Styela clava: one gene and its partner. The protein of the gene in region 1 binds, or shares a complex with, the protein of each later gene. Links are inferred from orthologs where the notes say so. Each region holds a gene or a part of one and is shown in the gene's direction. Other genes may lie near its edges. The genes, in order: rabphilin-3A-like and synaptosomal-associated protein 25-like.

What was found.
Region 2: the proteins of rabphilin-3A-like (region 1) and synaptosomal-associated protein 25-like are in contact, whole or in part, in a crystal structure (PDB 5LOW), measured with the Rattus norvegicus proteins. The link is inferred for Styela clava from reciprocal best matches to the Homo sapiens genes RPH3A and SNAP25. Residues at the interface, in NP_598202.2 of Rattus norvegicus: His617, Ser618, Ala621, Ile648, Ser649, Ala650, Lys651, Gly652, Leu655, Tyr659, Leu662, Lys663, Lys665; in NP_112253.1 of Rattus norvegicus: Glu38, Asp41, Ile44, Arg45, Leu47, Val48, Met49, Asp51, Glu52, Glu55.

The regions. Positions count from the first base shown.
Region 1 is NC_135257.1:13,555,721-13,571,592, reverse strand, and holds the start of rabphilin-3A-like, read left to right. Parts: upstream 1-7,803; 5' UTR 7,804-7,868; coding exon 7,869-7,942; intron 7,943-8,363; coding exon 8,364-8,498; intron 8,499-8,906; coding exon 8,907-9,039; intron 9,040-9,290; coding exon 9,291-9,365; intron 9,366-11,977; coding exon 11,978-12,069; intron 12,070-12,389; coding exon 12,390-12,601; intron 12,602-12,885; coding exon 12,886-12,984; intron 12,985-15,872. UniProt on the Homo sapiens protein: Plays an essential role in docking and fusion steps of regulated exocytosis.
Region 2 is NC_135257.1:17,694,766-17,710,556, reverse strand, and holds synaptosomal-associated protein 25-like, read left to right. Parts: upstream 1-4,481; 5' UTR 4,482-4,549; coding exon 4,550-5,179; 3' UTR 5,180-8,053; downstream 8,054-15,791. Other genes in the region: DNA topoisomerase 3-beta-1-like, read left to right, coding at 8,132-8,258, 9,589-9,757, 10,818-10,938, 12,772-12,951, 13,533-13,714.

The DNA.
Region 1 (15,872 bases):
ATGAAATTTCTTCCGACGAATAATGAGGTGGTTGAAGTCACTAAAAAGCTGAACACTAAAAGGAAGAAGTGGATGAAATTTTTTCCGACGAATAATGAGGTGGTTGAAGTCACTAAAAAGCTGAACACTAAAAGGAAGAAGTGGATGAAATTTCTTCCGACGAATAATGATGTGGTTGAAGTCACTAAAAAGCTGAACACTAAAAGGAAGAAGTGGATGAAATTTCTTCCGACGAATAATGAGGTGGTTGAAGTCACTAAAAAGCTGAACACTAAAAGGAAGAAGTGGATGAAATTTCTTCCGACGAATAATGAAGTGGTTAAAATCACTAAAAAGCTGAACACTAAAAGGAAGAAGTGGATGAAATTTCTTCCGACGAATAATAAGGTGGTTGAAGTCACTAAAAAGCTGAACACTAAAAGGAAGGAGTGGATGAAATTTCTTCCGACGAATAATGAGGTGGTTGAAGTCACTAAAAAGCTGAACACTAAAAAGAATAGGTGGATGAAATTTTTCCGACGAATAATGAGGTGGTTGAAGTCACTAAAAAGCTGAACACTAAAAGGAAGAAGTGGATGAAATTTCTTCCGACGAATAATGAGGTGGTTGAAGTCACTAAAAAGCTGAACACTAAAAAGAAGAAGTGGATGAAATTTCTTCCGACGAATAATGAGGTGGTTGAAGTCACTAAAAAGCTGAACACTAAAAAGAAGAAGTGGATGAAATTACCTTCCGACGAATAATGAGGTGGTTGAAGTCACTAAAAAGCTGAACATTAAAAGGAAGAAGTGGATGAAATTTCCTCCGATGGATAGTGAGGAATACTTGAAAATTTAATATATTAGGAATTGGGTAATTTAATGTTTGTTCTGTTCGTATTTATGAGACAATGTCCTCGTGGATTCGTTTTTTGTTAATTTTTTATATGTTATGCTCAGTTCGAGCCTGCCGAATTGAAGGCCATGACATTCTCGTTATATTCTTTTTAATTTTGATGTAATGTGCAAACAAATTAATATATATATATTTTCATATCTAGCTGTTCTAGATCAACAAACCTCGTAATTTATAATATGTTTGTGGCCCACCTCAAAATGCCTCTGAGGCTTACCAGTGGCCCATGGCCCATTGGTTGAGAACCAGTGGTCTAACAGGACTTCGATTTGACTAATACATCATTATTCAAAGTCTTCGTGCGTGAACTGCTTGCAAAATTTATAAAAACAGATATTAAGTTCAAGGAATGAAATACGGAATCAAAAATAAATTATATTCGGGCACAATATCACGGCAATCTATTATTAATCACGGCAATTATCACGGCAATTATTATTAATTTTTGATTCCTATTTTCGTATTTACAAAATACAACGGCGATCCATGGACTTAAAATGTGTGGTAAACTGCCCGATTATAATTAATTCTTGATACATATTTTCGTATTTATAAAATAATAAAAGATATATATGCGGACATTGAAGTGCCCGAATATAAAAAAAATCCATTCGTATTTACGTACTCACGAAAAAATTGTCGCAAGTCAGAAATATAATTTATACTTTATCCCGCTTTTTGGCAAATAATTTGGATAATGGTTGGTATTTAAAAGTATGGACTTTTACTAGGATGATTTTGTGTTGCGCAAAATGTTCAAATCTATGACCGATAGCACTATTTTAAATGCTTGCCGTATTAATTTAATTCTGATAACGTAACTCATGGTATATAAAAATATATCGCAGTAATCTGCAAACATGAAATGCATGGTAATATAGTCATGTTGTAGATAACAGTTATTCCATTGTTTATTGTATGCAAATTCCTTCATATACTATAGATCAGTAGTCGGCAACCACCGGGCCGCGGCCCATCGCCGGTCTGCGGAAAGGTCACTACCGGTCCGCAGAAAGGTGACATGAAAACGTACAATGCCATTGTTATCTTCATGTGAGGTTGGGTTTTTAAAATGGCAATTACAAAAACGAAAGATCGAAGTGGGTTTAACGTAAGAAATACGTTACGTGAATAGTATCACCTTCGTTTTTGAATGTATTGTCAACATACATTTTCTAACGCATATTATTTATTACATTAGATTAGTTCGTTTGTATAAAGGTGGTCCGCCAAAATTTTGGTCAGGCTTTATCGGTCCGTTACTGAAAAAAGGTTGCCGGCCACTGCTATAGATCATTGATTTTCAACCGGTGTTCCGCGGAACACCGGTGTTCCGCGAGAGACCTCCGGGTGTTCCGCAGAAAATTGCTTTTTTGCAGTATTATGACGTCATAACTGATATTTAACCGTCCGATGGATTTATATAAATTTCACAAAGCGCGGTTCACAACCGCTTCCAATCTTGCTATCATTTTCCACTACCTATCTTTGCGAAATGAGTTTTTAAGCATGGCCGGTCTAGGGCTGTGCAAAATATTCGAATAGCGAATACAATATTAAAATATTCGAATGCCATTTTACTATTCGTATGTACAATACCACATAATCTGTACCGCTTTGCTTGGGCACGGAATTCACGCCGGTAAATCGATCGCTTGGATTACGCGAGAATTCACCCTCGGCTTCCACTGTTATTATGCAAAAAGCGTGCCGACACTAGTCCGTAAATGTAGAAACGTCAACCCAAATAAGATATCTAAAATAAAGTTACCAGATTTTAAAGATGTTATTAGCCTCCGCATGCATGACCCGAATAGAAAATCATTTTCGGAAATTAAGAGTTACAAAGACGTTTTTTTTGGAGTGTTGAATTTGCAAATTCCGTAAATAAAATTATGAATTTCCCGGTAACGATATTAGCTATGATATTGGTCGGGGTATTGATTTGTTGCAAAATAAATGGTGACTTGAGGTGATTAATTATAATTAGCGTCTTCCCTTCTACTAGGTACGAAAAGCACTTGGGCACAAAATTGTTTACAATTTTTTTGGTATCAGGTCGCGTATGTAAAATATCGTTCGAGAGTGCTGCCAAACGACAACGTAGAAATGCCTTTATTTCAGATTTTAAATCAACATTCTTTATTCACGCAATCACAGCTTCACAGATTTATCTAATCACAGTATCAAATTGATTTATTTCGAAAATAACACTGAGCCTAAGAAAGTCAATTGTCGTCTTAATAATAAATGTGTGCATCCCGTTGACGATAATGATAATATTATTTGCTTAAAACTGGGACATTTAATTTGCAAACGGCGATAAGTTAGATCAGAGTCGGCGCAAAAGATAAATATCAGAATACAATTAATTTGGCTTTGAAATCACTCCTTAATGTCATTAAAATCTGTCGCTGATGTGAACTCATAATTATATCAATAATATGAAACTTCGATCTCCGCCGACCCACGGGAATTAATAGTTGCGCAAAAGAACAAATGGCGGGAATTTAAAAACGTTCAGGGGGACAAAATATCAGCGCATATGACGAAATTAACCAGTAAAAATCGCTTTGTTGCCGATTTTCAATGTTTCTATTAATTTCCAAATCTACCTCCGACGTTCTGGACCCTGCTGCGTATAAAAAATATTCGGTATTGGACTATTCGGTATTTGTTAAGAATATTCGAATTATTTGATTCGAAAAAATATTCGATTTTGCCCACCCTTTTCTTGGCCGCCATAAGAGTATAAAAACACGAAAAATTGAGAGTCGTCGAGAAAGAGCTGCGTGTTTGTCTCTCTCAATTAAATTCCAGCCAGAATAAAAAATTGAAACTCATCGAAACAGGCCCAGATATTACATTAAAATACCATTTCTGTTCCTAGCTCATCAGTAGCTCTGAATCGGAATATGTGTAACGTCTTTTCCAGCTGAAGTTGACAAGCTAATATTAAATCTCGTTAATTTATTTTTTTCCGAAATGATCGATGTCAGTTAATTGCATAATATAGTTTATTTCCAAAATTCTCATTTGGTGTTCCGTCACAATTTTAGAATAAAAAAAGTGTTCCGCGATACAAAAAAGGTTGAAAATCACTGGTGTACGAGGTTAGGGATCAGGTTGTGCGACATCTTGGTGCGCATACTTCAGTAGTACAAATATTTCAATTTCAACGAAGTTTAAATTAAATTTCAATCAAAATTAAAAGTTTTCTAGAAGTCGGTATCTGATCGTTTATCAAATCATGTCAAGGCGTACCATAACTTAGTCGCAGAGAAGGTGTGCTGTTGCATATTTTTAACAAAATTGCAACGAACTTTCGGGTATACGATCCATTTAAATTTGCGTGTGATAGAAACTTAGGTCAGTCACTCAACTGACAGATTGAAGGAAATTAATTACCCACACAGCACGTCAGCATCTCGAGTGATGATCAGGGTGTGTTGCGCTGAACATGAAAATGAATGAAGGCAGATCAATAAAAGTAAATAACGAAAAATTCATTTACATTCCCGTCTGGCAATTGGTGTTATTTGGAGTGTTTGTTTTTCTTCGCTAAACGGCTCTCTTTCTTTCGAATCGCGTAAATCAGATTCGAAAAAAATTGCGATTTTAATCGATTCAATTCATAAATCTAAAAGGGGCATGCCTACTCATCAGTCCGCTTTCAGGGTCTTCATCCAATCTCACTTCCGTCGGGATATGTTTTGGCTATTTAACTCTCCCAATGTTCGGTATTTTAGTGACTTCAACCGCCTCAAAATTGATAGGACAAAATATCATCTAACCCTAACGTACTTCTTCCTTATAGTGATTAGATTTTTAGTGACCTCAGCCACCTCACCACCCGTCGGAAGAAATTCCATCCACTTCTTTCTGTTAGTGTTCAGCTTTTCAGTGACCTCCGCCACCTCATTATCCGTCGGAAGAAATTTCATCCATCAGCTTATTAGTGACTTCAACCACCTCATTATTCGCCGGAAGAAATTTCATCAACTTCTTCCTTTTACTGTTCAGCTTTTTAGTGACTTCAACCACCTCATTATTCGTCGGAAGAAATTTCATCAACTTCTTCCTTTTAGTGTTCAGCTTTTTAGTGACTTCAACCACCTCATTATTCGTCGGAAGAAATTTCATCAACTTCTTCTTTTTAGTGTTCAGCTTTTTAGTGACTTCAACCACCTCATTATTCGTCGGAAGAAATTTCATCAACTTCTTCCTTTTAGTGTTCAGCTTTTTAGTGACTTCAACCACCTCATTATTCGTCGGAAGAAATTTCATCAACTTCTTCCTTTTAGTGTTCAGCTTTTTAGTGACTTCAACCAGTGACTTCGACCACCTCATTATTCGTCGGAAAAAATTTCATCCACTTCTTCCTTTTAGTGTTCAGCTTTTTAGTGACGTCAATCACCTTATTATTCGTCGGAAAAAATTTCATCCACTTCTTCCTTTTAGTGTTCAGCTTTTTAGTGACTTCAACCACCTCATTATTCGTCGGAAGAAATTTCATCCACTTCTTCTTTTTAGTGTTCAGCTTTTTAGTGACTTCAACCACCTCATTATTCGTCGGAAGAAATTTCATCCACTTCTTCCTTTTAGTGTTCAGCTTTTTAGTGACTTCAACCACCTCATTATTCGTCGGAAAATATTTCATCCACCTCTTCCTTTTAGTGTTCAGCTTTTTAGTGACTTCAGCCACCTAACTACCCGTCGGAAGAAATTTCATCCACTTCTTCCTTTTAGTGTTCAGCCTTTTAGTGTTTTTTAATTTTTCACCTTTGGGAACACTTCAACTTCCGTTTTCCCTCCACTTCATCCGTTTCTTCCTTCAGCCTTTTAGTGTTGTCCCTTTACCAGTGTTCCGCGGGTTACAGTTTGGGAAACGCTGCTCTAATCACTGAATCCATAGGTTCCCAAAGTGCTCCGTGACCGTACGGAGCCCCAGGGCTGCTAATACAGTAATATGCGTATTTTATGAGAGGGGTTGGTAGCCTAAAAGCCAAAAAGACTTTAGGCTGCCACCACTAATGTATTTTATAGCGAGGAGTCGGGAGTGTTTGTAAAATATTTTTTTATTCAAATTTTTATTATTAAAAATTAATGATTCTCTCCGGGTGACCGGTAGGCGCGGCGGTGTGGCTCAACGAGCTAAGCGTTAGGAATACGCTCGCCACCGCACCTCTAATTACAGAATTACTCTGAGTGGGTTCTCAGGTTCGAATCCCATGCAGGAATGGTTATGTGCGAGAGGATTGCTGGACTCCTCGCCGTCGTTGGGTGGTTCACGTAACCGCCGCTGGTCCGTTAAAGCTTCCTCTACCACCAAGTCTATTCTCCCGAAAAACAAACAATATATATAACTAATCCCATATCCGACTTGCAATGGTAACCGTACGAGAGGCCGTGGTTCGCCATATGGATAAGCCGTCTTATCGGCTTTCCTCTCCCCCTGGATAAATATGTAAATCCTATCCTACTGAATATCTTGAGTGTACAAACTTTGTAAAAGTTAAAAAGTCTGAAAGTTGGTACTGTAAGTTTCAAGATCAGGAAGAAATCCGCAGGATTGACTTGCCAAAAAACTGTTATGCTACGCCTACTAGAAGTACGAAACTACACGAGACCCATAAGTGGTCCATGTATTTTTGAAAACAAATTTATTATAATGCTACCGGTAACACTGTAACAGGTGTGTTTGACTTAGGTAATTGCTATCTTGTTGTATTACTTTTACTTTATATCTTTCGTTGGTAGTTACGATCAATTCTGTCAATCTTATATACCGGTACTGATATAGGAGATAGATACAGTCTGATATTCTACAATAATAAGTCATATTGGGTTGGTACCCATAGTTGATGCTTTGATTTTCTAAAGAATCATTTTTTTCTGAATTCTGAATGGATATTTATAATTGAGAATATACAATCGATAAAGACAAATCTAAACACTCTACTCTAGTATACAAATATTTTTTATTATGCTTCTGTAATTTTTATTTAGAATATGTTCGACATATCAATAAGGATATCTTTTTATTGACTTCATCTATTCTATTGCATTGCAATATAATTACTTATTGGTAAAAATAGATAATATGGGAGATGAGCAGAACAGTCTAGAAAATGATTCAGAAATTGAGGAGAAAATGATGAATACGATTCCGCGCATGCGTGTCATGTATCCAGAAGCAATAACCAAATCAATACAAAGAATAAATGCTTTTAAAGCATCCATCCATCAGAAACAGGTCTTAGAATACAAACTGAAAATTGCAGAAATGAAGGATTACACTACTGACACATCATCTCTGGATTATGCTTTGAACAGAATGAAATCTTCATCGTGGTATAAATCGAGAGACAGCCTTGAATAAAGCTTAAAAGATATAAATGAAAAATACAAAAACCTTAGAAATCACAGAACGACTGATTTCATATCTTAATAATTAACATTTTTAACAGAAAGAGGGTCATTGGTTATGTGATATCCATGCTGCACTTTGTGTTGTATTATCAGAATTGATTGTATTCAAAAATACGTTATTTTGTGTAATATCAATTGAATTTTAAAGTTAAAGACTCTTTTTAATATGGAATATATTGATGATATACAAAAATAAATTTGTTTTTTCAACAATTACATTTTACTATGGTGCTGTCACATTATCGATATAAAAGACTTAGGTTGTTGAACATAATTTTTTTCTATAAAAGCCACTGCTAAAATGTTATAGCACTTCAATAATATTCTATAGATTGAAGATTAAATTCACATTTTTCATCAATGTTATTACTGCCTACAGTTAATGTTTCTTAGTTTTTAAACCTTTTTCATCATATTTTCTGGTTGAATGTACTTAATTGCTTATTTTTAAAAAAAATGTCAATATCGACAATGTACCGCATGTATGTATGTGTATATATTTTTCAGATAAATTGAGGTAATGTAGCATAGCAAATGTAAATATGCATGACGAATCTAATACCTCAGCTTGGATTTGCCCTAATGATCGTCATTTGGCACTCAGAGCTAAGTTGAGGTAATTATAAATACAATAATAATAATCATTGATTTGAAGAACAAAATTATTCACAATTTTTGACAAATTTCTACAATTTTCAAGCTTGACTGATAATGAAATAGGTTAGAGATATAGATAAAACTTGTTCATTGAATGAATAATATTTTCACTCAATCATTTATTGCTGTTTAATTTTGTGAAAAAGCAATCATACACCATACTTAATTGAGTCCCCTTTCGTGGTTGTAACCTAAACAGCAAAAGTTAAAAAAGCTTTTTTGTGAAAATGGGAGAAATAACAGTTTTTCTTGTGTTATTGTCGGATGATAATCTTTTAATACCCAAAGGACTTTGTGCTGCCACACTTGGGTCATGCTGTATGCGCACATTTAGAAAAGTTATTAATGTAAAAAAAAAAAGACTTATTAATTATATTTAGGTCAGGATGGTCGGTAAGAACAAATCAGTTTGGTCGAACAGAATCAAATTCTCTAACTCATGATGAATTAGAAAAGATACGAAATGTAATAAATAAAGCAAAAATGTTGGAAGAAACTGAACAGGAAAGGGTCGGGTATGAAATTCAATAATTTTGATAAATAAGACTTTGATTTTGGTTGCCGATGGCATTCATGCATCAGTCGTAAATTTTTAATTTTTTTTTTCTAATTTCGATTTTTGTGTGTTATCTTGATAGATGAAATGGCAAACCATGGCGTTTTTCTAGTTTCCAGTTCAGATCAGGCATGGAAATAGTAATTCACCAATTTTGATTGATTGGGAAAGCCATACCTCACGAGCGGTTACGTAAACCACCAAGAGTCCATCAATCCTCATATCCTCTCACACATATTTTTTCACACAGTATTCATATCTCTAAATCCACGCGAGGTAATTCGAGGTGTGGTAAAATGTATCAAACATTGAACCTAACTCAGTTTGTCTATTGGTTTATAAAGTCATTTATTATGTTCATTTCTAGGTCACTCGTGCATCACTTGAACATAATGCGACAGAATTCAATGGGAGATGGTCAAGCAACTTGCATTCTCTGTGCAGAACAGTTTGGGAAATTTTCGAGAAATGCACCAATCATTTGTATGGATTGTAAGAAGGTAACTCTGCTTGTCAAATTGCCAAACTTTAAAAAAAACTTCAATTTTTTACGTGTTTAATGACAGTTTCTATTTTGAGTGCAGTGATTGTTCCTTGTGATTCATATTATTATAAGTCTGCTATATTGTAATTATCTTAGCTTAGACTAAGCCTAATTCTCCTGTGTATTACAATGGCGGTAGCCCATTTCAAATTTTATCTGAAATACTATCATTAAAATTAAAATAATTTTCCACTTTCTTCACGACAGAAAGTCTGCAACAAATGTTGTGTGGATTATGATACAGGACAACAACATATAAATGGAAAACAAAGTTCTGCTCAGGTAGGCCCCATTCCTTCAATATATTTCATGTTATAATTGATAGTAGACGTTACTTTTTTGATCATACTTACTTACTTTAATCTTTTAAATTGAGCCTTTTTTACGCTAGAGTTCATACTAATAATCATTAGATATTTATTATCCAATTATTGAGTATCAAGGTTATGATTTCTGACAATTTCATCTAATTGATTGTTATTCTCCATTCTTGTCCTCCGTATTTCCTATTACCGGTAATTACAGCCCAATCACCCATACATTTTTATTTATTTATATATATACCGGTACTTTAGGTCAGGGGTTCTCAAACTTTTGGTGTTGCGGAGCCCTTGGAAGATTGAATATTATTCGCGGAGCCCCAAATTGAATGTAAAAATTGTTACTTTCGGATTAATATTCCTGAGCAAGTTAAAAGTACTTTACTTATTTTAAATGCTGAACCTTTTTTAATAGGGTTAACACAAGTCATAAATAAATCTTAATTTTATACTAAAGCTGTAAATTTGACACTTGACGAACATATTAATAAAGTAGGGGTCGAATCTTTCTCTTTTGACATTTTTGGAATACTTAAAAGGCCGCTAATAACGTGCGCGATTTCATTTTGTTACAATCACCGATTTTTTTCGTCAGCATGGCGTGTTTTAAACATCTTTACGCTGGTGTTTATTCTCCCTAAATCAAAAATTTCCCTCGGCATATACATGTATTGTTACACATTGACGACTCTAATTGCTTTTTTGTTCTCGTGGGGAATTATGAGTTCAATGTGAAAAACATGTTACCATATTATAGTCATCGACGACGAAATGCTAAAAATAATAATTAATGAGGAGGTAAATCCGCAACTCTAATTTCTTGATTGAAAAACGGCATTCTAAAATATTACAACTGAAACTTAAGAATGGAAGATCACGCGTTTGGTTTCAGCAGACTCCCCTCAGATTGAAAACGCTTTTATAGACATTGTATATTCACAAAATTTGGTGTTATGTTAGGTTTTCATCGTAGTAACTGCGAAATCGAATTACAGTCAATTGTGTGTGCTATGTTCCATTTTTTTCCCATTCTGAAACTACCGACGGAGCCGCACGCAATCAATTGTGCGCGCGATCCGCGATGTACCTTTTTTCATTCTGAAACTATCGACGGAGCCGAATGCAATAAAATAAATTTCAATTGTTCGTATTTTGCCCAGACATTGTGATTTTTCAAACGGTGATATCTTGCTTAAAAATAATCTCAAGTGCGAAAGAACAAATCAAGTTTGACAAATCCTAAGGTCGCAAAAATACGACTCCAATTTATTTATAGTTGGCAGTTTATCACATATTTTATGTTATTTTAAAATAGTATACTTTCATTTTAGTAAACCTAATAGTAATCTCGAATTAACGGTATGCACAATTACATTATAACGACGAGACACGTTAAATGTTCGCATCGGTCATGGATTGAATATTTTACGCAACAGAAATCTCGTTATCAGTATTTTTAATCGCGAAGAATATTGCGCGAAAATTTCCGATTCCAATTTTAAACCCCCTCCCTCTTAAGAATCCTGGCTGCGCTCCTGCTTATAAATAATGTCATTTTTTAATTCCGCCTATTTACCATATTTCTAGGCTATATTGTTATTAGATTTTATATGTTATTGCTTCTTTGAACAGTTACAAAATTTTGAGTCAGTATTTTGAAGAGTAATCGAATAGCTCGCGGAGCCCCTGGGTTTCTCTCGCGGAGCCCTGGGGCTCCGTACGGAGCACTTTGAGAACCTATGCTTTAGGTGACCAAGTATGTATGGTCCACTATTAATAAAAATTATGGATTTTTACATAGTGAGAAATATTTAAATTTTTCTTGTTGGATTCACCAATTTAATATTACAGTTTACAAAAAACTGTTAAATATTAAAATCTGAAAAATATGGAAATTTGTGTTTTGCACTCATTGAGGGCTAAGGCGTAATCTTACTTCATACTGCCAAATATTTTGGTGCCTAATAATCGTTGGACATTTATTATTCAATTATTTGACTATCAAGGTTATGATTTATGACAGTTTCAACTTATTGATTGATACTTTGCCATTTCCTATTAATTACACTCAACTTTTGATAAAAATATGGATTTTTACTCACTGAGAATTATTTGAATTTCACTCGTGGGATTCAACAATTTAATATCACAGTTTACAAAAAATTGTTAGATATTATTAAAATAAAAAAAATATGATAAATTGTGTTTTGCCTTTACTGAGGGCTAAGGCCTAATGTAATCTTACTTCATACTGCCAAATATTTTGTTGCCTACCTATAAGTACAAGTATTTGAATAGTAAAATTACATTCTAATATTACATTCCTCCCCCCCCCCCCCCAAAAAAAAAAAAAATTATGGAAAGTCCCAGCCCCTGCATGAGGGTATGTTAAAATACTTTAGGGAATTTTATAAGAAAAATTCATAAACCCTTTGTGGATTGCAATGTACCATCGAAGATACATTTTAAATTGAGATCAAGAATTTATTCTACAATCTACAGAGTGATTAAAATATTTTTTTGTTACTTCATATGAAGCATAGCTGAGCTGAGATGCATATTATACTTTTACAGAATCTATCTATGAATTGGTTATGTAAGATCTGCAGTGAAAATCGAGAACTTTGGAAACGTTCTGGTGCATGGTTCTTCCAATCACTTCCAACGTATGTTTGCTTTATCGTTATTAAGTAATATGTTTTTGTGTGAACTTTTGTTGGATTTGTGAAATTGCAAACGGATGAAGTATTTTACTTTATTTTATACACCTTTATATGCCAAACATTATTTGTACGAAGCACACTTTTATTTCCTAATTTAATTTAGGACTTCAAGAACACTCAAAAAATGAAAATTTCCTTTCAGCGCTTGTTTTGTATTAATTAGAATTATCATGTTGGTAATATAAATGTCTTCCATATTTCTACTAGATTGTAAGACTTTATAAATAACAATCAAATATGCATAATATTTCATTTTGTTTTAGATACAAGTTGCCGAATTTCAGGCATTCTGATGTTGACCATATTGAAAGAAGGCCTCAACGACGACCTTATGTCCCTGAAGTCATTGATTCGCCTAAAATGCATAGGAAAGATGTTCTTGCTCTTCCAGATTCACCGGTTGTGGGTGGCAAAGGGCATCGTAGGACGGTTTCTGCTGGTTCGACTGGGTCATTTCAATGGACTAAGCCATCAAGTATGTCCAAATTTCGACAAATATTATTATTGAAATTGTAAATGTGTCATTGTAATGAAAACTAAATATTGATATATTTGGATTTATCTGATCCCTATGTATTAGTTCCACAATTCTCTGACTGATCTTTGTTTGAAACAGGAAATGTTTGATCATGAAAATGGAAATCATTGACTATGTCACAATCAACTATTTTACATATCAATTTAATATTAAAAAACGTCAGTGTAAACTACAATATAGATGAATTTTTGGATTATAAAACCCCTATTTTTGTATTTTAGAGATTCATTTGACAAGTAGTTCTGAGTTTGAAGAAAGCTCATCAGATGACGATGGAATAACTTTAGGAAAAACTAATAAACCATCAAATATGCAACTGAGTATGTATTATTCAATGTACTGCATTTATGTTTGTTTTATTATACCTGATTTCCAACCAAAGACAAATATAGTCGTTCTTGTAAAGGAATTTTGCTTTGTTTTTGGGGTACTATTACTGATATTCATAGTTCTTTATTATTACCAAAATACTTTGCTACTAAAAAAGTTTGCATGCAAAGTGAGGGAGAAATAAAGAGAGAATAAAGGCCGAAGATTTGGGAAGATTTTCTTTTCAATCAAACCGTTACCTTATCTTGTATCAGAAATTGAAGTATTTTCGTATTTTATTTTACTTCAAATTTTACATGATCATGATTTTTGGATCTTTCGTTATAAATTTTCAAATCTTCTTAAAATATTCAAGTGATTGTACTTGGGGTATTGATCATCAATCAACATGTTTACCCAATCAAGCCTTTTCTTTCAATTGTGATTGGTGGCTAGGGAATGTAATTTATTACAAATCCCTAAGGATATTAGCAACAAATTCACGCTTATATTAGATTGTCCTCCTGCTGTTTGCGTGTTTAGTAATCTCTTTATGGATTTCTATGCTTATTGAACCTACCTTGTTTTATTCATGTCATTATTCTTTTTTTCATACTTAGGTTGGCCTATGTATTAGATTATGACGTATTGATCGAATTTAAAATAATATCATTGATCTTTAGAATTAAGAATAAAAGAAATATGTAGACTGTGAAATGAATTAATTTTGCAATTTGATTATTTTCATTGGATGTTTTCTTTTGTAAAAATTATGGCTTCCAGGCATTATTAAAATAAGCGTAATCAAATTAACTATCCAGCTATGATTTTTTAGCAATCACGTGAACATGATAATATTCATTAATAAATGCTGTAGTATTTAAGTTATATATTGGAGTCTTTGATGAATTGTGTTATTTTTTAAACAAAAATAGAAGAGAGTATTTATAGTAACGGAATGTAACATTTTAAAATTGATACATGTGGCTTATACACGGGCGGACGTCGAATTGTCAACCATCGAAATTAGAAAATTCCTATTCTTAAATGATATTAAATATTTATTACAGTCCAATCACCCACAAATTTTTATCTATATATGAATATACTTATAGTGACCTAAGTATTCATGGTCCAATTAGGATAAAAACTATGGATTTTTACATGGTGAGAATTATTTAAATTTCACTCCTGGAAATCAACAATTTAATATTACATTTTACAAAAAAATTGTTAGATATTAAAATCTGAAAAATATGAAAATTTGTGTGTTTGCACTCATTGAGGGCCAAAGCGTAATCTTACCGGTACTTATTTTATTCTGCCAAATATGATGTTGCCTACCTAAAAAGTACGGGATAAATCACTATCAAACAGATCAGTCATTAAATATACCTTTTCCGTGATTATTAATATTCAATTGGCAAATTTATTCGCAAACATTCGATATGTTTATTTTAGGCTTGGAATATATATATATATATAAAACTGAATTGTGTAATAATTAAGTATTTTGAGAATTTGATTGTTAAAAAAGTGATTCATAGCTGACTAACTAGTAGTAACAAAATAAAATTGCTTCCATTGAACAACAGGAAATGCTTAGCATAATTGTGAGTCATAAATAGAAACACACTGGCACTTCTAAATTTGGTTATTTTGGTATTGTTTTATATTGAATGGGTTTCATCACATTCGTAACGCAACGTCTTAACATAATTCAGTTAATTTCGCTATTGCGTAGTTTAAAGATTTATGGTAAAATGGACATTATCCATAGCTTCTCAATATCTGATATTTTAGTGTTTAATAATAAATTGAAACTTCAGTCTAAAAGTTCCTAAATTAAACTATAAATCCAACTAATTGAATCATTTTATTGGAGATTCCATTTTTTAGCATTTCTATTTTTACCTAGACATTTCCATAAAGGACTTAACATTGAAAATAGCAATGTGACTGTGTCAAAGCTGGAAATATCAGCAAGTATTTTAAAAAGGAGTGATAATAATCACTTGGACTTTCATATTATTTTGTTTAGGAATTCTCAGGTTTTTATGCCTATATATGTATTTTCAACAATACACAGGTCTATTCAAACAGCAGTCTTATTTTAATAATATAACTCACTTTTTGTTGGTAACGCAAATATTCTGAAATAACCAAAAAGTTTATTTTTTCAAATTTATTCAAAAACTACCGTAATAATTATGCCGGTATATCATGGATGCATAAATATCCTGAATCAATAATAAAACAGGATAATATCTTATTTTCCCCAAGTTTTATTTACATTTTACACTGATTAGTGATGAGAATTGTCAGAGAATTTGAGACAATTTCCCTATAATATGCTAGCAATTGTCTCATTCAGAAATAAACATAACCAGATATATTGTAATTTTAGGCTTGCTTCGGGGGTTTGCAATAATCTATTTTGCTGAATCATTTGTGATATAATATGAAGTATTGTTTTTTCAAAGTCATTTCATATATGTATTGAATAACATCACACAAATATTACGTCACAATTTGAAACAGAAAGATGAAATGAGTAATTTTTGAGGTCAGGCAACATACATATTTAAAATGTCCCAACACTGACATGCGGTGTCATTTTTCTGGGTAAAGTAGGCAGAAAATTATTTGAATGTCTAAAATTGTCCCAATATGACCCAAAACTGATCCATTTCACATGAAAAATTAATGGCGGTCAGCCGTAGAGTAACCTACCTAATGACATCGTTAATTATTTATTTTTCAAAAATTGTCACGAAAATTTATATGTGTATCTTACACAAGGCTTTAAATCGAATACCAAAATCAATATGCTAATGTTGTTTCTCACATGATTGAGAATGTTGATGTACAATGAGTATTTTATTAATAAGGATTAGAA
Region 2 (15,791 bases), about 4.1 Mb from region 1:
TTACTTTTTTTTTCGCTATGACGTCATCAAAATTAATGCCACTGCGTGGCGCTACGTGTCCATATATTTGAGCATAGCTCTCTTGTTCATAAAAAAAAACAATTGTGATATTTAGCTTAGATTTTAATTTTCTTGTTTTCGCGACTGTGAATTTCATGCTTGTTTACCATCATATCTGGCAACACTGTATAGAGATATTATTGTTCAGTTGATTTTGATTCATTTCCCGGCATTTGTGGCTTGCCGGACTGAGTTAAACATGGATATATGTAATTTAGTAATCTGTGAACGTTTAGGACGCCTTAACTTATTCTATAAGATTATAAGACTAGGGGTAAATGGGACGTGCTTGGTATGGCTGTCGCATGGCGAGTGGTCCATGGCGAGTTAGCCCTCATGGCGAGTTAGCCTCCACCCGTACAGTCCAGTAGTCAGAGGGTACCTGTACCATACTCGTTCAGGTACCAGAGTACGGTACCGTATCCTAACAGTTAAAACAGTACTGACTGCAGTATGAGTTTGAATTTCAGTTGCCTTTGTGTTCACGGTAGTTGTTTTATCATATAATACAGTACGGTACCCTGGTACCGGTAATACTGTACCGGTACCGTAATACTGTAATACAGTAATAGTCTACTCGGATTGAAATTCTTGTTATACAGGTACCGGTACGGTACAGTAAGTTGGCGGTAATTAAAATCTAACCTCAATTTCCAACTAAAAAGGTACATACCGTGCAGGGAGTACAGGAGTATGTCTCATGCCAAATACAGAAATAGGGTGTCATATAGTCTAGCTGTATAGCCTAGTGTTTCACGCAATACAAGTTTTTCATTAAAAAAATAAGATTTGAGACACTTTTCGTATATTTAAGCAGTTGAAGTATTTTATTTTCACACTACTTTCAGACTTTACTTTTCAACGTTATTTAAACAGTTAGGGTGGCTTACCCACTTTGTGGCCATGACCTATCTGCGACCATCAACTCCATCGATTAAATTAATGCCGAAAAAATTAACGAACCGCGACGTTATTTCTCACGCGTTATCGTCCACTTATCCCTCGTAGCTTGTTTATAATTTGAAGAATTTTGTTCGAAATAACCGTGTTCTTAAAATATATGACGGTCATAAAATGCAATTAGAAGCCCATTTTTTCACGCATGGCTGCATATGCCCTAGTCTCGACGCAGCAGAAATGATGTTCAAGGCTTGAAATCTGTGATCGCACACTGGTCGTTTGGTCGCAAATACGTCTTCAGAGTGTCGTACTTTGGGGATTTGTATAGCTTTAACCCCTGGTCGTAGAAAGTTAATGAAAAAATTAACGGGTTAGAAATGATGGTTTTTGTTTTATAGCGGTTTGAATGAAATCGTTCGCAGACTGGCTACACCACCCTACAGCATTTATTTCACTGGAGCCCATTTGGGCATAATCTCCGATTCCGAGATGCTCGAAATTTGCTTCCATAAAACAATCTCTTTGTTTGTCTATGAAACAAGATAGTCTGGCACAGCGGCATAAGCGTCACAACGCGCAGGGATGGCCAATACCGAATAGTTCACTATTTCGAATACATTCGAAATTATTTTTTTCGAATATGAAATTTCGAATACTTCGAAAATAAAATCCACTAATTGAAGCTTATCTAAATGTATGTAGGAATTTCCATACAATGAGCAATGGAATAACTGCTATCTACAAGTTACAACCTAGCTATATTACCAGGCATTTCATATTTGCAGATTATTGCAGTATATATTTTATATACCATGAGTCATGTTAACAGAATTAAATTAATACGACAATAGTGGTATCGATGATGGATTTGAATATTTGCGCAACACAAAATCACCCTAGTAAAACGCCCATACTTTTAAATACCAACCATTACCCAAATTATTTGTCGGAAAGCGGGATAAAGTATGAGGTATTTTTCCGACTTGTGACAATTTTTTCGTGAGTACAAAAATACGAATCAAAAATTAATTATATTTGGGAACTTTACCACACATTTTAAGTCCGCAGATCGCCGTTGTATGTTTGAGTAATAATACTTTTATTATTTCATAAATATGAAAATAGGAATCAAAAACTATTTATAATCGGGTAGTTTACCACACATTGTAAGTCCACAGATCGCCTTGTATTTTGTAAATACGAAAATAGGAATCAAAAATTAATATTAATCGCGAGTTTGCCACACAATTTATGTCCACAGATTGCCGTGATATTGTTCCGAATATAATTAGTTTTGATTCTTATTTTCGTACTCACGAAAAATTGTCACAAGTCGGAAAAAGAATTTATATTTTATCCCGCTCTTGGGAACTAATTTGTATAATGGTTGCCATTGGTTTGTATTTAAAAGTATGGACTTTTTACTAGGATGATTTTGTGCTGCGCAAAATATTCGAATCCATGACCGATACTACTACTTAAAATGCCTTACCGTGTTAATTTAATTCTATTATCATAACTCAAATGTTGGTAAATCGGGCAGTTTACCACACATTTGAAGGCCACAGATCGCCGTTGCATTTTAGAATTATTAGTTTTATTATTTTGTAAACACGAATCCGAAATTAATTATAATTGGGCAGTTTACCACGTATTTCATGTCCACAAATACCCGTTGTATTTGGCATTAATACTTTCATTATTTTAGCAATATACAAATAGGAATCAATATTTAATAATATCGGTCAGTTTACTACACGTTTTATGTCCACAGATAGTCGATACAACCATGAGTTACGTTGAACAGAATTAAATTAATACGGCATGACATTTTAAATGCTGGTACCAGTCATGGATTGGATTATTTTGCGCTATAAAAAATCATCCTGGAAAGGATCGATACTTTTAACTATCGTTATCAGAATTATTTGCCAGAAATTATTTTCTAATAAATCGACTTGTTTTTCCAACTTGTGACAATTTATTGGATATCGTAACAATTACGGCTATAAATACCGTATTTCCCGGCTAATAAGTCCACATGGCAAATAGGACGATGTCTATTTTTAGCACTCAAAAAAGGGGTTTTTCCATATAGGCCTCCAATAAGACGGGTAGAAAAATTCGCTAATAATTTTATATGTTTAGAACCAGATCATGTTAGTTTGGTAGAATCATACTCACAGAATTAACTATTTTTAACAATTGAGCGGTAAATTTAAGTTGTAAAGCGGCAATCATTTAGGACAACCTATTAACCCGAATGTTGAAATAATTTTGGAATGTGATAAGTACTACACTGTACGTCCACGGGTTATTTCACAGCTGTGTTTTCCTGTCCCTGTGGTGTTTTGCTGAATCGGCAAAACGAAAGGGTCACAAATCACTTTTTCTTGGTGGCTGTGTTCCTCTTTAAAGTAACGATAACCAGCCTGCGATTAAATATCATGATTGGCAGACCCTAAGACCCAAATATAAGGTTACACAAATCATGCTTGAGAAGACTCATGCGAATAATAAGCAGGCCACATAGAAATAAAAGAAACATACTTTCTCAATTTTTCGACGTAATGGAAATGAATTTGTAAATTAAAAGCCTCGTACACGAATGTCGGCAATGTCCACCCACGTAAACGTGCAAATGTGTCGCAACACTATGCGACGTACGGTCGCACAGAATATAAACAATCAAAGTGCCGATTTAAAAAGTCGTTTAAAGATTCCCGTAAAAAAAAAACGAAACACCACGTTTACGGCAAAAAGTGGCTACTATTCGGAATTATTCGAAAATCAGCCGAAAAGGTATTCGAATACCTTGATATTCGAATATATTCGAATATTCGATTCGTTTTGGACAACCCTGACAACGCGTCATCCATTTTTCAGTCATAATTGAAGTAATTCCTGCATTCGCGCTATGTGTCTGCTGACAGCCCGTCACATGACCGAAATTGCGTTTTTTTTCCTGAAATCGGACTATTTTCTTCAGAGAAATCGAATGTTCACATTTTTAGCACAGTGTCGGAGGCCCATACTGTCTAGTAAAGGATGAGAATTGGGATCAGAGAATTGTGTCACACTGCTGTACTGCATATACCAGTAATAAGAATGATTAACTCTGATATTCATTCATGTACAGATGTATTTAATGCTATACCTACCTAGTCAGACGTTACTTATTAAGCTCCGTAAAAACTTGCGAAGGTTAGTGAGCACGTACCACTTACTTCTTTTAGCCACCCCATTTATTTTTAAATTCTATACGTTTCAAACATTTCTACTTAGAATTATTTTTTTTCTCTCCTGGTTCTGTATCAGCAGGTATACACTAATAGCAGAATATATTCAGGTGTTTCAATCGTTTGTTATTTGATTTTGCGCAATTCATGCACAATCAGAGCGCGACAGTTGTATATGGGATGAGTGAGACAACATGTGTATCTAATTTAGGATATATGGAGTGTCATTGTTGCATTGTTATCCTATAAAATATTTCTCAATGTATTTTTAAAACTTCAACTTTCATACCAAATAGCAGATTGTATTCTAATTTACATATTTAATTGTGTAGTCATCAACAAAATAAACTATGGCCGCAGATGATGACATGAGAGGCGAGCTCGCCAACATGCAGATGAGGGCGAACCAAATTACTGATGAGTCTCTGGAAAGTACTCGTCGTATGGTTGGTCTGATGGAAGAAACACAAGATGCTGGAATCAGAACCTTAGTTATGCTTGATGAACAAGGAGAACAACTCGATAGGATCGATGAAGGAATGGATCAAATTAATCAAGACATGAAACAAGCGGAAAAAAATTTAGAAGGATTGGAAAAGTGTTGTGGATTATGTGTTTGCCCATGGAATAGAGCTAAAAATTTTGAAAAAGGTGACGAATATAAAAAAGCATTCAGTAAAAATCAAGATAAAGTTGTCAGCGACCAACCCGGGGCCAGGATTCAGGATGAGAGAACGATGGCACAAGTTGGTGGTGGATACGTCAAGAGGGTAACAAACGATGCACGAGAAGATGAGATGGAAGAGAATTTGACACAAGTTGCTGGAGTTATCGGTAATCTGAAGCACATGGCTTTAGATATGGGCAATGAAATCTCATCACAAAACAACCAAATTGATAGAATCAACGCAAAAGCTGATGCAAACAAGGGCAGAATTGATTCCGCTAACCAACGGGCTGCAAAAATACTCAACAACTGAGTATATATTCTTCATTATTATTGATAGGTCAATTCAGATTGTTTAAATAGTATCATATGATCCGGGACTCCCCAGTCAGCTCCTCAGAAGAATAAATATAAATGGAGGAGCTTGCTAAATCTACTTGTGAATAATTATAAAACTAATCAGCATTGTATTTCTGAAGCAGCACTTGAGTGTTTCTGATATTTTTCAAACTGATATTATTAGGCAAAGATTCTACGTTTGACTTGGAAGATTTTAAACAAAGATGATTGAAATTTTTTTATCTGTTCGGTAATTCATAGCAAAATTCTGCTTATTTATTTTAGCTTTTGTCTGTCAAATGTAAAATTCTGACTAAAGTTAAGAAAATGTTACACCTCTTTGAACAGTAATTGATAATCTTTATTCATTTCTTTTTAATTATAGTTGTTCTGTAGCGATTTTTTTCATGAAATCAGTAATATTGAAAAACGATTTCCATTATGCACGTTTAACAGTGCATTAATGTGAGTATTATGGGGTTGTGCAATATTGCATGCTTACATTGACGATGACCTGGTTTGGTTATTGTTGTTGATGAAAATTTTCTAATATCCCAAATCATAACCTATAGTACATTTATGGGTTCAGCCTCTTCTTATATGTTCTTGAGAATGACAAATGTTATGGGTGGTAGTTTGAAATCTAAAATTAGTAGAGCGCAACATTATGCTTGAGTATGAATCCAACCCTTATTATTCCATAGAGACAAAATTCTCACGATAAAAGACAAGAAATAATCTCAAATAGTTTTCTATATTGCCAATCAATAAAACATATTTTGATATTATAAGTCAGATATCATTAATTGGCGTCATTAATATTCAAAATTATAGTATTTTTGAATATGAAAATTCCCAACGTTAATTTGTTATATACAATATGAGTTTGATTGAATTTTTCTTCGAAGCCTTGACAACCCAACTGCATCTTGATATCCAGTTCAATCAAATGTTGCATTATAATATTTTAATTCATATGTTTGATTCTGATTGGAATTCCTTCATGAATATTTTATTAAGGTCAATGCATTATACTCGACACTCTACAGACTATTCATTTGTTTGTAAAATGATTTATTTACGAAATGACATTTTTTGACTTTTCCAATCGATTCGGGTTCATCGTCAAAACAGTCAAAGTATTTTTATCAAAGATTGAAAATTGATTTTTCATGTTGAAACTTTTGTTGCTATGTTAAGTAAGTCTGCAACTATTGGAATGATAATGACATTCTGTGACATTTTTCATCTTCAGACCATCTTTCATTTTGAGAATAAGGTGACTTTCACGTTTACACTGGTGATTGGTTGTTCATTTTCGACATTTTGATTACTCAACTTTTTCATGCCGATATTTGGAATAAAATTAGTTGTAATGATTTGAATTAAAATCATAGTTGAATAAGCACGGAGATCTTTGGTACATTTTGGATTTTTAAAACATTGGAAATGACTATCTTAAACTTGTAAATTTGTGAATTATATTAAGAGTATAAACTATATAGAATTTTTTAAATTTATGAGGTAGTGGTTAACAATTTTCGATAATTTAGTGAAAGCTTTTTAGTGACATGCCATGCAGCGAATTCATGAAAAGATTAAATTAAATAAAATCTAGATATACCATGATTTGGCTGGGATAGAGAAAATTTTAGGACACTATCATCATTTATCTTATTTTACAAATTTGTCTTATTGCTAAGAGTAGAATTATCTTCACATTGGTGGCCACCCAATGTTCAATAAATGTTTTCATACCGCTCTAAGGTTATAAGCTCTCCGTAATTATTTATTACACCAAGTTATGTTTCTAGTAAACTCAAGGACACTCTCTTCATCCAACACCACCATTCAATTAGGTTCATCGATTTCTTATCATTTTGTGTAGGCTGTTTACTTCGTAAGACCTATTATTAATATTTGTGTTCTTTTATGATATGTACAGTATGTATCGATTATTTTTTGATCTAAGTATCTAATGTGTTGTTTAACTTATATATTTTCTGAGATGGATATTGAATGTGAATTGTTGAAAACTTTATAATAATCCTGAATTTTTTTCTGGTATGTCATTATGTCCACGTTCCTTGATATAAACACCTTAAACAAGAATTCTTTTTCCCAAGAATGTGTGGCATGTTTTGAATAAAAAGAAAATTGGTTAATATGTTTTATACCAAAACAGCAAATTTTGGAACACTTTTTTTTAGGTCTTTTTTTATTTTCAATTTATCCAATGATTTTATTTTGTAATATTCTACCTATGTAATAAAATGATTATTTCAGCAATTGTCATGACAATGAATCCTAAATATAGTAAACCTGATAATATACCGCAGTGAGAATTAATCGATGAAATATCTACTTGGCCATCTTGTCGATTATTGAAATCTGCCAAACTTTACAGTGAAGATTTCTCAATTGTATTGATTTAATACTATAAAGTTACACCCTTTGCAAGCACAGTCTTGTCTTGTTATCTGTTTGTTAAAGCATTAATAACTACAATACTCTTGAAGTTCATACTTCTATAGGGACTTGTAACAGCTGTCTACTCATAAATATTTATTATTCGATCTTTACGCCCGCCCAATGTTTGTTTCTTGTAGTATAATATGTTACTCGTCTGCTTCTGCAATGTCACGCCCCATCTGTTGTTTTTAAACACCAAAGTTTATGTTTTCAATGTTATTATTATTATTAAGATTGTTTTCCCCATATAGCGACTGCGTTATTTTCATTCTTTTGTTCAATTTACTGCTATGGTTTTAATCGTTTTCATCTGATATGTATGTATTATATTCATTTGAAATATTTACTGTACTAATGAATAAATTTATATTTAAGACTAGAAAAGTATAGACAGTTTGTCACTTCCACCTCCAGGATTACATATCTCTAATCCATAGTTTCCCATGAATTAAGTATGAGGACAGTGTTAATGGTTGCGGAAAAGCCGTCTCTGGCTCAATCCATAGCGAAGATTTTATCTCATGGTTCATGTAATACGAGGAAAAGCATCAGTGGATCTTGCCCTGTGCATGAATATGATGGTATGACATATTTTTTGATCTATTACTCATTTAGTTTCTAACAAATTGAAATTATGACATGGTTTTAATCTTGTATGAACTGGTAACGAGTCGACATAATTACTATAGTACTTATTTTTATTTTCTTGTTAAATAATGTCTTCTCTAAATTGGGTTCATATATTTTCCTTATACCTTTTTTAACATGATGTCAATTTTTTTTTTTATAATCCTCATCGCCGCCCAATTCTCTGCTCAACAGTCTTTTAGACACAGTTAGTAATTAGGTGACTTTTACTATTTTTTAAAAAGAATTCTGAAAACATTATAAAGTACTAATTTCAAATGGGGAATATTGAATCAACTTCAAATGAGACCATATTCTTTAGAAGTTTATAGGCCTATATGAGTTTGAATTTTAAAATACTGGAATTTTGAAATAAACATTGATGCCCTGTACGTGAATATGAGGGTATGACGTAATTTTGCTTTATTACTCATCTAGTTTCTAACAAATTGAAATTGTGACATGGTTTTAATCTTGATGAACTGTAAATGAGTCAAAATAGGTACTGTAGCATTTAATTTTGTATTCTTATTAAATAATATATCCTTTAAATAAGACTTATGTAGTTTTCTTCCAATGAATGTACTGACACTATGGCAATTGTTTTCTTTTTATAAACCATATCTTCATCGCTCTGAACAATGCTTTGCCCTTTAGCCTTTTAGACACAATGAGTAATTGAGTTGGTCTGATGAATCCTACCGTTTTTTTTTAATTGACTTAGTTGAGTTTCATACATATTATCTACTATGCCCACAACGAGTGATGGCTAAAATCTTTTAATTCTATCTTCTGAATACAATCTAAAATAATTTTTTTTTATCGACGTTTTGTAGATTAGATTCGATTTTCTGGATGAGTCTATGTATATTCAATGAGTTTCAATGATAATTCGACTAAAAAAGGGCCTTCCGGAAGGCCCTATTTTGGGTCATTTTTGCAAAAAATTCTCACTGCACATATAGTTGAAAAACTTTTTAGCTTTTCAGCTTTGAATAGTTCATTAATAAAGGTTATTTACAGACACGTGCCTACCGGAAGGCCCTTTGTCGAATTATCATTTAAATAAAAATACTTGATTTCGAAATAAACAACTGTTTTAGTATTTTTTATAATCAAAATTTTACTCTGAACAAAACTCATACCTGTTATTTAAAATATCAAATATAATAAAATTTGAATCAATTCTACTATTATATCATCTTGGATATCTAACTGCCAGTTATTTCAACTAAGTAGTTTATGGATTAATGTAAAGGCATTGACTGTATTAAATTTTTTCAGATAAATTTTATGGCGAAAGAGTCAGCTTCAAAGTCACGTCTGTGTGTGGCCATGTCATGTCATTGGATTTTGAAGGAAAATATAATAACTGGGAAAAAGTTGATCCTGGGGAATTATTTTCTGCTCCAACTATGAAAAAAGAAGCAAATCCCAAATTAAATATTATCAAGTATGAATAATTTTATGAATCATTTTAGCCAAAAATGGAATTTTAATATACTAAAATAGTTTATAAATAATAAATGGGAAAATTTTATCGCAACGGACTCGCCATAGTTTGCTTTGAGAATTCTATTCTGGTTAATAATGGAAGTGTCTCATGTTTGACGAGTCACGACAGATTTTGCTCTAGACAAGGCTTCATACAAGAATGATGATATTATTCAATTTTTAACCAATCTCTGTTATTCTCATTATTTGGCTGACCAACCAGCTGTATGATCTATAACAGGGTGTGCAACAGGCGGGCCGCGATCCACAACCCGACCCACCAAGCCATTTAGTGCGCCCCTTGTCACTCCAATTTCATTCCATAAAACATAAAATCCCAATTCGACAGTTCATGCTTATTGGAAATGGGTAAAAATACATAATTTTTTTTACTCTCGTCACCGTGTTAAATTTTGCATTGGGATAATTTTTCAATTTGTTGTGTGCATGGAAAAACTATTTTCATTTGTGTGTCCAAACTAGATGTCTTGGTCTTATGGCTCACCGACAAAAAATGTTGCACACTTCCGATCTATTTATAACTTGTGATGCTTATTGTTACTGATAGTGATTAAATTATTGATCGTACTTTTAAAATAGGATTTTGTAAGTATGGTATGTCCTTATTTGAATAATTTAGAATTATATAATTCTGTTCTGCAGTGATCTTTGCTGTCGAGCATTATATAAAGTAGGTCTATTTTGCTTTGAAAAAATGCAGCATCGGAGGGGGGGAACATATTAACATCTTAAGAAAAACAATTGTCACATGGAATTATGCTATCAGTTGTGGTTACGCCAGAGAACTGCCAATCCTTCCTCCATGCCATTGAACTGGCGTTTAACAATGTAATGGAACTTCGACTCAACCCTCAAAATTATCCCCTGGTATATATGAATCATCTAAGAGATATTATAATTATTAATAGGTAATAAAAATCTTATGTCTAAAATCACAAGTTCATTCTTTCTAAAGTGTCCCATTAAATCTTTAATTTTAAATATCGTAACTAATTTAGGTTTCTGGAAAAAGAAGCACGAGGCGTAGATGCGATTGTGCTATGGTTAGATTGTGATAAGGAAGGAGAAAATATCTGCTTTGAAGTTTTAGACATTGTGGAACCAATCATGAATAAAAGTGTGAGGCTTATATATTTTTTTCATTCATTTATGCTTCATATTATTTGGTAAGATTTATGTAAATAGTGTCCATGCCGCCTTAATTTTTTTTAAATTGCAAAGGGAGTTTATAGATACCACATTCCACATATTGTTTTGGCCCTCACAGATGTATTAATGGAGTAAAAATACTTGAACAATTACTGATTAAAAACATCAAACCTAGTTAAGTTATATTGAGAATTGACTTCATAACAAAATCAAACTTGGTTAATAGACTTTATGGAACCCCTTTATGTTAGAATAGGTAGAATGTAAAGCTGAATAATTATAGTTAGGTGGGAAAATACAAAAAATAATGCCTTGAAATAAACCTTTGAATATATTTTTTGTTGAATCTTTTTAATGGAAAAGAGAAAAATAGGGAAAAAAGTAATTATACTGGGGCTAATTTTAGGCAAATTCTCTTGAGAAAACAATGGTTTGGTAACATGTACCTGAAAATATTCTTGCGAGAGGCTGACAAACTTGGGGGTTGGGTGAGGTTCTAAAAACAAATAACGGAAATGCAACTACTTTGCGGCAGATAGGCAGCCCTAGGGAACTTACATTGATTTGCTCCTAATGATGAAGGAGCCTGTATTTATCAATCAAGTCGAAAGAAATAAAAAATTGTCAATTGGACCCAAGTGTGCCTTGTACTGAAGTTACTTTACCAATCAATAAATAGCATCAGTGATATCAAGTGCTATTAACCATCTTCACAGATGGCAACTTTTAAAATCAATTTTTAAGTTACTAAGTTTCCTAGAGATTGCAATTGTATTGATTTATTGCTATTATTGATTATTATTGGTTGTGAAACATTAATGTGTCTGACCCATGAAATAAGGATGAGTATCAATAAAAAATAAATTTATTTAAATGGAATTGAAGTATAGCAGGGAGACCAAATAAATTTTCTGGTACTTGGATGTCCAAAATGAGTCGCATGTTATTAAATCGATTGCAAATTGATACTAAATATTTTAAATTTGCGTTCGGATAAATAGATTGAGATTTTTATTCCAAAAAATATCATTTTGAAGAGTTCATGTGTTTGATTCTTGAAAATAATGAAAAAAAAAGTTGAAAAAATGAATAAATTTCCCAGAATGTATATAAATATTCAAAAACACCAGATTAATAAAAATTATTCAACATATTTCTTATAACGATCTAATTCAAATTTGCATCAAGTAATTTCTTACAAAACTTATTGAAGTATGATATCAATGATTACATCTTCGATTTCGAAGTTAGTCATGGTTTTAGGCCAAATACAAAAATAAAGTTTTCATTGTATTTGATTGAAAACATCTGAATCATTGCCAAAATGTCTGAAGGTAATTGGCTTAAATACAAGGTTAAATTATAATTTACATTTTGAATTAATTTATCGAAAATACAATTGAAGATTTTTGAATAAAAATTGAAAAAATGTTGAGTCTGTCTGTCTCGAAGTATATCATCAATGGATTATCATGTACATGGAAGCCAAAACCTACCGTAATTACCGTTATGCTATTCTTAAAACCTTTCCAATATAATATTTATGAATATGGAATTTCAATTCTATAAAAAACACATAGTGTGTATAATCAATCCGGTTTGAAATACAGAAATTATTTTTAAAAAATTGAATGAAGGTATTCTGGTATTCTTATTTGGTTTTCCTAAAATGTAGTAACTTTGAATGTATTCAATTCGTACTGGACAATTCTGTTAGTATACCAGTCGATTTATTATGTCCAATTATTAATAAAGAATTCTCTAATACTTCACTCTTTTTATAAATATTATTTTCGTTTTCAGAGTGGACGCAAAAGAGTTTACAGAGCCCGGTTTAGCGCTATTACTGATAAAGACATTCACGAGGCAATGAGAAATTTAGCGGAACCTAATTATAACGAGTCACTCTGTGTTGATTCGAGACAGGAATTAGATTTGAGACTTGGATGTGCTTTCACTCGTTTTCAAACCAGATATTTTCAGGTTAGTTTGTCAATAACTCGACACTACTTTACTCAAATTGTACATTTAATGCATATATGAAGGTTAATTTGTAATTAAGATAATACACTTTTTTGCTCACTTTCTTTTCCAGGTTTTTGATAGTAATTATTAACATGTTTGTGACTTGGTTGATTTCTGTTAAAATTTCTTGTTTTGCAATTGACTTGTGAATGTGCCACATGTCTAACTTTAATGTGATTTTGATCTTATCTTTTTTAGTTAAGATAGGCTACTGAATTTGACAAGTATTTTGGGAAACTCCTTATTCATACTGACTAAGCAATCGACTTTCTGATTTTTCCCAAAAATTTATCAAAATATCCTTATATGACGTTTCCATAGGCTTGTTACTCCAACTTATACAAGCAGCCATCAGTAGACAAGCATATACTATAGTTAGGAAGGACCGGAATGTTCCCAGTCTGGGCCAGTTTATTGCACCCTATGTGAGGTGATGAACATTGGATCTGCACCTGAGATTTTAAACCCGCAATAACAACATAGATTTTTCCAGTATCGCACAAACGACTCCTTATTCATCAACTCATTTTTGATTCCAGGGTAAATATGGAAACCTGGATAGTTCTCTGATATCATATGGACCATGTCAAACACCTACTCTTGGTTTCTGTGTTGATCGTCACGATAAAATCCAATCGTTCAAACCAGAAAAATATTGGGTGATGAATGTGGAAGTTAAATGTCCCACAAGTGGAATCACAGTAAAATTAGATTGGGCAAGGTAAGATATGTGAGAACTAAGAGCTATGATCATTTTTGTGATTGTCTGGTTCTCATTTAGTAGCAATTAGCGAGAACAGACTATTAATCTTTTCCCAATTCCTTAAGCTAGCTTTTTGTATTATGTTGACCAAGTTTCTGTATTTTTTGGGCGCTCCCGTAGTATGTGAACCCATATGACGGACACCTGAACATAGTATGTTTACCAGGTTAGGGTTAGGCCATAATTTTATTCCAATTTTCTTATTTTACCATAATAATCCTATTACGAGTTCGGGGATTAGCCAAGTGACTCAAGTAGTATTTGTACCTGAATTTATGGCCTAACCTAACCTGGTACACGTACTATGTTCCGGTGTCCGCCCTCTTGGTTCACATATTATTGGAGTACCTTTTTTTGTTACTATGATGGCATCCCATGCTTGTATCTCAGGTTCAAATCCCATTCCCACCACCTCACTCAGAGTGTATTAAATTTTGTAGGCAATGACGATTCGGAAAAGATTTTAGTTTTTTCTAACTATAATATTTCCTTACCGAGAAGTTGTTCTTGTTAAGGAGCCTTGTGGAAGGTATATAAAACAGTATGAAACTGAGGTGCGGTAATCGCTTTACCCTGCAAAACAAAAGTTTCCAAAGCAATGTTTCTAGAATTTATTGTTCTGGAAGTTAATTGTAATTTTAATGTATATTCAAAAATTCAAAAGTCAAAGATAACTTTGAATCAAAACCATGTTCCAACTGACGTATTGCTAAATAGAATTCAGAAAGTCGGCTATTATACTGTCATTTTTCATTACTTGTATTTTCAGTAAACATCTTTATCAATGCTAAATTATATGGACATTGGAAATCCATGTTTAATTATACAATATAGACTTTTGATTTTTCATTCATTTGGCAACTGTCATTTCCAATTAGACATTTCCCTTGCCAGTAACCTTGCTCTAAATATAAAGGTTATTTTAAAGACAAAATGATATTGTGGAATAAAAAATATTGATTTCCAATATTCCGTCCAATTCATTGCGGATTGTTTTATTCTATATATTGCTATTCTTGGTACTGTGTTGTATTATTGACGTCTGTCTATGGCAATGACGGCAGAATTTATTATGTGATCTTAATGGTGTTGAAAATAAACTGACGAAACCACATTGTTTAACTTATAAATTGAATGGCTGTTTTTTTGTTTATCATTGTAAAATGGAATTAAATTATACAGGGTGTCCATAGAGTCTCTTTAAAATTTCAATTTTGTTATGAAGTCATTTCTCAATATATATTAACCAGGTTTGTTGTTTTTCAATCAGTAATTGTTCAAGTATTTTTACTCACAACAAAGTAAATGGTATAGATAAATTCCTTCTGCAATTTTGAAAAATTTTAAGACTTTATGGACACCCTGTATTATATTATTATTGAACTTCATTAACTCCAAAAAGTTATAGTGTACTAAAAAAATTCCGAATTTCAGTTTCTTCTACATTTGATTAGAAAATGCCTGAAGTGACTGTTAGATCACGATAATCACTACCACGAGTCTGAAAATCTGCTCAGTATTCGATCTGAAAAATTCAAATACTGAAAAATATGAAACTTTTATTATACACAAATCTCTGTATAATAGTTGCAAGTATAAGCAGTTTATGAATAATCAAAATAGTTTGACTATGTTTAGTCTACTTCAACACTTCAGAAAAAAGTTATTTATATTAAAAGCACAAATCAAATAACAGATTTTTTATGATTCAAATATTGATAGCAGTATAATCTAGCCACTTATGATGCTTGACCACCTTCATTATACCTAAATCGTAAAGCGATAAGCATCCAATTACCTAGAGCAGGGGTTCTCAAACTTTTGATGTTACGGAGCCCGTGAAGAGATTGACTATTATTCACAGACCACCACAGCAAATTTATAAAAATAAAAACAAAACAACACGTTGTTATTTACCGATTGATATTCCTGAGTAAACTAAAATTACGGTTCTTTATTTAATGACTCGGATGTATTTACTTATTAAGTAAAAGAATAGCTCGCGGAGCCTCCAAATTTTCACTCACAAAGACTA